2 linked regions of the Saccharomyces cerevisiae S288C genome follow. Each later gene encodes a partner of the first gene's protein in a complex. Each region holds a gene or a part of one and is shown on either strand. Other genes may lie near its edges. A codon is read from its position in the direction of its gene.

The links.
Region 2: the proteins of BBC1 (region 1) and LAS17 are in contact, whole or in part, in a crystal structure (PDB 1ZUK), measured with the Saccharomyces cerevisiae proteins. Residues at the interface, in NP_012514.2 of Saccharomyces cerevisiae: Phe14 (codon at 1,886), Tyr16 (codon at 1,880), Tyr20 (codon at 1,868), Asp23 (codon at 1,859), Asp39 (codon at 1,811), Glu41 (codon at 1,805), Trp42 (codon at 1,802), Ile58 (codon at 1,754), Pro60 (codon at 1,748), Ser62 (codon at 1,742), Phe63 (codon at 1,739); in NP_014824.1 of Saccharomyces cerevisiae: Arg350 (codon at 662), Gly351 (codon at 659), Pro352 (codon at 656), Ala353 (codon at 653), Pro354 (codon at 650), Pro355 (codon at 647), Pro356 (codon at 644), Pro357 (codon at 641).

What each region holds. Positions count from the first base shown.
Region 1 is NC_001142.9:400,486-404,410, forward strand, and holds the start of BBC1 (Bbc1p), read right to left. Parts: upstream 1,926-3,925; coding exon 1-1,925. Other genes in the region: MPS3 (Mps3p), read left to right, coding at 2,412-3,925. UniProt on the Saccharomyces cerevisiae protein: Involved in the regulation of actin cytoskeleton.
Region 2 is NC_001147.6:673,723-677,647, reverse strand, and holds the start of LAS17 (actin-binding protein LAS17), read right to left. Parts: upstream 1,710-3,925; coding exon 1-1,709. Other genes in the region: putative dodecenoyl-CoA isomerase DCI1, read left to right, coding at 2,481-3,296.

The sequences.
Region 1 (3,925 bases):
TCCCCTGAAATGGATTTAGTCAAAGAATTTATCGACCCGTTGCGAGCAACTCTTGTTTGTGGGGAAGAGACAGGCAAAACATTTCCAGTTGTGTTTTGTGATGAATTTTCAATATCATGTGATACTTCTGCAGTACGGTGGGAGATTGGTGGTTCTTGAGGGTAAATTTTTTCTCCGGAATTAACATTCTCTGACTCATTATTACCTATCTGAAAAGCTTGCTCCACCATCGAATGCTTTCTCAACCCATCGTTTGCATCCTCAAACTCGTGGTCGTCAGTATCTTCATCAGAATCATGGTCAGAGTATTCGGGATGTGCATTATCAACAGCAGCTAAATTGTGATAGGCGTGTGTACCATGTTCTTGCTTCTGTTCATGCTCTGTGGTTGCATGAGGATCTAGCGTCTTTGTTTCAGTGGGTTGATTCTTCTCACTTAGATTTGATTTCCTAAAAAATGGGTTAGAACTTGGGTCAACAAATGGCATAACAGGTATGGCACGAGGTAGTTCTTGGAGCTGTTCAGGTTCCTCCTCCTCCTTCTCCTTATGCTGTTTCTTTTTCGGCTCTTCTGATGGTTTATTTCCAACTCCAGAAGCCATACCGAAGGGGTTAAAACCAACAGGAGCACCGAATCTACTAGCGCCAGATAGTTTAGCCATTCTTTCTCTCAATGCGGCCCTACGATTCTCTTCACTATCTTCCTCTTCTTTTTCCTCATCATTATCTCCCTCTCTGTCTTCATGGCCGTAACCTATTTCGCTTTCCTCAGCAACATTTTCTCCTCTTGCCTCGTCTGCTTGTGACTCCTCAACTTTCTGATTTTCCTTTGTGTACTCATCTAAAAATTGTTCTTTCTCTATGTCATTCGTGCCTTCATCTGCTTCGCGTGAGGTTTTAGTAATCTCTTTATGTGCCAATAATTCCATTTGCGGTTCCTCGTTGTGCTCAGTTTCAGGCGTAAATTCAGGTTTCGGTTCAGTTTTTTCATTTTCTTCTGCTTCTTCAGTTTCCGTATAGGGCTCATTCTTGTTAACCGCACTACGTTCATGTTCTTGTTCGAGCTTAGCCTTTTTTCTCAAGAGTTCTTCTTCTCTTGCAGCCTGTAATCTTTGTTGCTCCTGTAAAAGAGCAATTCTTTCTTTAAGGCTCATCTGGGGCAAATCCTTCTTTAATTGGTCATTCTCAGTTTCTATTCTTCCACTTTCCACCTGTGCACGATTAATTGGTTCGGGAACAATCTTTTTTTCGTTTTCCTTTAGGGACTTTTTCCTTTCAAGATTGGACGTATCATTTGTTGGAATTCCAGGGGGGACATAGTATTTAGGAGCATCTGCCACAATTGTTTTTTTCACAGGTATGTTTTCTAAATCCAAGTGAGTTGATTTTGGTAAAGGAACTTGCTCCGTTATATCTTGATTAAACATAGATAAGCGAGCCTTCAATTTTGGAGAATCCATGGGAACTTTTCTTTCGCCATTACCACTACTACTATCATGCTGGACCTGTGCTGATACTGCTGTAGCGGCTGGAACTGGCACTGTAGCGGCTGGAACTGGCACTGTAGCGGCTGGAACTGGCACTGGCCCGGACAGAGTTTCTTTCTTCGTTTCAGGGGAAATGGGCTCTGGTAGGTCCTTTTGTTCTACTTCCGGCTGGATTGTACGTTGCTCAGTGGAACCGGTATTCGGAGATGATTCGGCTTCCTTTCCAACTTCAGATCCCTGAACAGCAACAAAACTTTTCGGGAAGATACCCTCAATAACGTCGCCATTTGAATCCTGGTATTCACCAAAGTACCATTCGGCGTCTTCAACAGACGTAACAATAATCTCTTGATCTTTTTCAAAATTTAAATCGTCCTCGTAATCGGACTTGTATGGGAACTGAGCCACCACCTTGAAGGGCACTTCGGGTTCACTCATCCTTAGTTTGGGTAAGACTGTGTTTACTTCTAGTAGCTCTTGCAGTTGGGACGCGATTGATGTTTACTACCGACTTGACGCTACTGTTTCACAGTGTGCTAGTAAATACCACTTCTAGTTGAAGTCTTAAGGAGATTATAATTCTGGAGGTAAAATAGGGGCATTGTAGACCTCTAACTATTTTCAGGGTATATTCCTATATTATATAGGTTTATTCTTAAAATATGAGGTTTATAAATGATACACATCACTTATTGATAGGGTTATACTCTTTGATACGGGTAACATATGAGACGCGAAAATGGAATATAATGACAATGTAAATATCGTCATCTTGAGATAATTATCAACAAGGTTGTCATGAGGAGTTACAGATAAAAGTCAACAGAGTGGAGTTAGTGGTGTTTTAACTGTAGTGCTCCATAGTTTCACGGCGGTTTCTCTTGTTTTCAGTTGGTAGTAACTTTTATCCTGGAAGTGCTGGAAATGAATAACTCAAATGAGCATAGGCGGGAAGAGGCAGGAGCGGCTAATGAACAAATGCCTTACAATAAGGCTGTAAAGTCCGCGTATGCAGATGTCCTCAAGGACAAAATGAATAGGGAACAGGAGATTAGCCTACGAGCCATCAAAAAAGGGATATACACCGATGGCGGTGAAACTGACAACTATGATATGGATAAAGAGAATGATTCCGCGTACGAAATGTTCAAAAAAAATCTTGATTTTCCGTTAGACCAACATAATGATGACGACGATGATGATCCGTACATTGAGGATAATGGACAAGAGACCGACGGATATAGCGACGAGGACTATACAGATGAGGCAGACAAGAGTTTTATAGAAGACAGCGATTCCGACAGCTACGATTTGGAAAGTAATTCTGACTTTGAAGAGAACTTGGAAAGTTCAGGTGAAGCTAAGAAGTTGAAGTGGCGGACGTACATTTTCTATGGAGGCCTTTTCTTCGTTTTTTATTTTTTTGGATCTTTTTTGATGACAACCGTGAAAAATAATGATTTAGAAAGCCATTCATCCGGCGCTACATCCTCTCCAGGCAAATCATTCAGCAACCTACAAAAACAGGTGAATCATTTATATAGTGAGTTGAGTAAGCGGGACGAAAAGCACAGTTCAGAATTGGATAAAACAGTAAAAATCATTGTCTCTCAATTTGAAAAGAATATTAAAAGACTTTTACCCTCAAATTTGGTTAATTTTGAAAATGACATTAACTCGCTGACAAAACAGGTTGAGACAATTTCAACTTCCATGAGTGAGTTACAGAGGCGAAATCACAAATTTACGGTCGAGAATGTTACTCAATGGCAAGATCAACTGGTAAAACAGTTGGATACACACCTCCCTCAAGAAATACCCGTTGTAATTAATAATTCTTCGTCGCTTTTAATAATCCCTGAATTGCACAATTATTTGAGTGCTTTGATTTCAGACGTTATTGAGTCTCCAGGCATTGGTACTGCTGGAAGCGCTGAAAGTCGTTGGGAGTATGATTTGAATCGCTATGTAAAGGAAATTCTTTCGAATGAGTTGCAATATATCGATAAGGATTATTTCATCCAAGAAATGAACAGAAGGTTGCAATCTAACAAACAGGAGATTTGGGAAGAGATCACAAATAGGTTAGAGACACAGCAGCAGCAGCAGCAGCAGCAGGTTCAACAGGATTATTCTAACGTGCCACAGCAGTATTCGAGCATATTAATGAAAAGATTAATTCACCAAATTTACAATTCCAATCAACACCAATGGGAGGACGATTTAGATTTTGCTACTTATGTTCAAGGTACTAAACTATTGAACCATTTAACTTCACCAACCTGGAGACAGGGCAGTGGGGTACAGCCGATAGAATTACTGACCGACTCCAAACAAAGCTCCTCAACTTACTGGCAATGTGAGAACGAACCTGGGTGTTCATGGGCCATAAGGTTTAAAACTCCTTTGTATCTAACCAAAATTTCGTACATGCATGG
Region 2 (3,925 bases), on another chromosome or scaffold:
GATTTGTCAACTTTTCTCAAAGCGCCTATGCCACCTGCCCCTCTAATTGAAGCTAAAAGTGCATCACGACCTGCATCTCCAGTAGTTTCAGCGAATGAACCGCCTCCGGATGTTGATGTAGCTGGCATTTGAGGAGGTGGGGGTGGAGCTGGAGCTCCTCCAGATTGAGGTTGTTGAGTTAGGAATGCTGGTGGCGGAGGTGGTGCAGCACTCGTCGTCGATGGTAACGTTGGCGGAATAGGTGCTGAGGGTGCTGACTGAGGTATCTGCGACTGGCCTAAAGATGCCGGAGGAGGTGGTGGTGCCACTGGCACATTTGTGGCTTGCGAAGGTGCTTGAGTATTCTGAGGAAGGGGAACTGCAGGTTGTCCAGTTGCTGCAGTCATTTGTGGTGTCAGGGTATTGAAAGTTGTCACTGGAGGAGGGGGTGGAGATGACATGTTGCTATTTGTCTGATATCCAAAGGGGCGGTTAGAATTATTGTACTGTTGTGGATTTTGTTGCATCGTAACGTTTGGTGTGGGGCGAGATGCTCTTGGAGGAGGTGGTGGTGCTGGCCCTCTTCTTCCAGTGGCCTGTGGAAGGAGGCTATTTCCACCGGCAGAATTCAGGGTATTACTGGTTACGTGCCTATGTGGTGGAGGCGGTGGTGCTGGCCCACGCCTTGGCGGAGGTGGAGGAGCAGGTAGGCGAACACCTGAACCTTCAGTAGTGGTACGCATTGGCGGAGGAGGTGGCACAGGCCGATTATTTCTGTTAGGCAACTGTGGAAGGGGCCTATTCTGCTGTGGTATGCCCATTGAAGGAGCTTGATTAAACTGCTGCTGAGGTACCGGAAATGGAAATGGGTTTGTTGCAGACTGTGTCGAGGGAATTTCAGGAATTGGGAATGGAAATGGATTGCTTTGGGGTTGCGAAGGCGCGTTATTTTGAGGTGGAGAGTTATGTTGTGGAGGGTCTGGTAATGGCGCAAACTGATTTGGTAAAGGCGGTAAACTATGCTTTGGATGCGTTTCTTCTTTTCTTACTTCAGGAGATGCAGGAGGAAGAGCAGGGGCTGGGGTAGTCGGTGCGGATGCTGTTGTCGAATTGATATCGGAAAATGAACTTGTTTGGTCTGAATCAAATGTTTCGGCCGTTGGCGGAGGAGGGGGAGGAGCCTTATGCTTTGTAGTTGGAATTGTGTCCACATCTTCATAATTATATCTTTTCCTTTGATTGTCAATCAATGACTCCCCTCTTGGGCCGTGCACCACTTGAGATTTTTGTTCTTCTCTTACTTTCTTGGTTAATGCTACAGCATTTTTGTTCAACAAAGTTTTCCTGTTAGCATATCTTTCACGCTTTTGAACTCTCTTTAAAAAGTGCGATGCTTCATTAATATCTACAAACAATAAACCTGCAAAGCATTCTTCCATCTCAAATGTATGAAAAAAAGTACGGTCTTGATAGTATTCAAAATTCACATACAATTCTTGGTCCCAGATAACTCCTCTATGGCCATTGATGTCAACTAATTTCAAAAAAAAAGTATTCCCCACAAGATCGTCTACTAGAGCAAGAGCTCCTGAAAGTCCAGTGTACTGCCATTCATTTTTATCAGGGTATGCAATGTATAGTCGAGCCACCGTAACATCAATAATCTTATTCGACGCTTTTGGTAGAGCCCTTTTGATAATTTCCTTATCTGAAGAGTTTAGGAGTCCCATATTAAATCACGCCTATCAACACTTAAAGTAACGAACTGTAATTTGTAGCGGAGATGGCAATCGCTACAGCACTTCCTTTTCTACTATGTATATTCTACATTCAATATTTATTATTACATATTCATGATTTTTTTTCATAGGTATTGACTGGCCCCTTTTCGGACGTCTCGCACGTATTCAATGATCATATAAACTATTTGGAAAATTCAAAAAAAAACAACTATAAGATCAGTTAAGACTTATATCATAGATCTTTTAAACCAGAGACACAATTTCAAGTACCATGGGCAACTGCTTGCATTGCATTTAGTTTTGCCTTTTTTCTAATTGCAAAAGAAGAGTATTCCAAAACCACTTCTTTGATAAATCGTCCACGTCAGCCGGCGTTACTTGAAACTAAACGCATACTTTATGAAAAAGGGCCATCAACTTGTCTTTTTGTTAACATTCATTTTGAAAATATGAACTTTGGTATAATTGAAAATCTAGCATATCTATATTTTTTGAATATATTTAGGCGATAACTTAAAAAAGCATTGTTTCAGTTCTGAAGTTTGTTGCTTGTTTCTATTCTTTACTGGATGTCTGAAACCCCAAAAAAAAAAAAAAAAAAAGGACTCCACAAGTAGCGGCTGTAAGCGCGCTAAACTCCGACAGTGTATTATATATACGTAAACGATCCTGATAGAAAAATCCAATCCATTACCCCGGGATTATTTTATTACAGAGTAGGATTTTCTGGTGTTAAGTCTAGTGAGTTATCTTCTAACTATGAGCAGTCGTGTGTGCTACCATATTAATGGTCCCTTTTTCATAATCAAATTAATTGATCCAAAACATTTGAACTCTTTAACTTTCGAGGATTTTGTATACATTGCACTATTACTGCATAAGGCAAACGATATTGATTCTGTTTTGTTTACTGTTCTACAAAGCTCAGGCAAGTATTTCTCCTCGGGAGGTAAGTTTTCAGCAGTTAACAAGCTAAACGATGGAGACGTTACAAGCGAAGTGGAGAAAGTCTCAAAGCTGGTATCTGCTATAAGCTCTCCTAACATATTTGTGGCGAACGCATTTGCAATCCATAAAAAGGTTCTGGTGTGCTGTTTGAATGGACCGGCCATCGGACTTAGCGCATCGCTAGTTGCTCTTTGTGACATTGTTTACTCGCAAAACGATTCAGTATTTCTTCTTTTTCCCTTCAGCAATCTCGGTTTTGTCGCAGAAGTGGGAACTTCTGTTACCTTAACTCAAAAACTGGGTATAAATTCTGCAAACGAACATATGATTTTCAGCACACCAGTTCTATTTAAAGAATTGATAGGAACTATTATTACAAAAAATTATCAATTGACAAATACTGAAACATTCAATGAAAAAGTTCTTCAGGACATAAAGCAGAATTTAGAAGGGCTTTATCCGAAAAGTGTACTAGGTATGAAAGAATTGTTACACAGTGAAATGAAACAGAAGCTTATCAAAGCACAAGCAATGGAGACTAACGGAACCTTGCCTTTTTGGGCAAGCGGCGAGCCATTCAAAAGATTTAAACAGCTTCAAGAGGGAAACAGGCGCCACAAGTTATAATAATATAGCATTTAGAGATAGGATTTTAACATAAAAAATCTACTACACGATCATACTTCTGCAATTGTTAAATTCCGGGTTCTTTAATACTTTAATGTTGGCGCACAATATTTTATATCTGTTGTAAAATCCGCTTACAATATAAGTGAAATTGTTCCATTTTGTTTCATAGGAATTCTTACTCAAAAAGGATGTTTTTTAATATTCATATAATATTTACAAATAGCTCTCTGAAAAAAAGGATTTTTTTTTACACCTAATAAAACTGTCATTCATGTTAAGTAACTAAAGTGCTTCACAACTGTACTTAATGAACTGAATCAATTTCCTTGGCAATGCAAATTCTTCCAGACAAGAGGCGGCCGCGGCGGTATCTCTAGAAAATTTGGCAGCCGCACAAAAGGGTCCTACTGATGACGGGCTGGCAAACGGCGCTCTCCAAGGCACAAACTTTGTGACAAAATAGAATCCAGCGGCAGAGATCCGGATAAAAATGGGGGAGTGGACTTTCAAAAGCCGTACACCTCTTGTACTGAGGACAAATAATACAAGTTAAACTTGAATATTTAGATATGAGACAAAATGCTAACGCACATTCTCACTCCTAAATACTTAATTTCGAAGTCTGC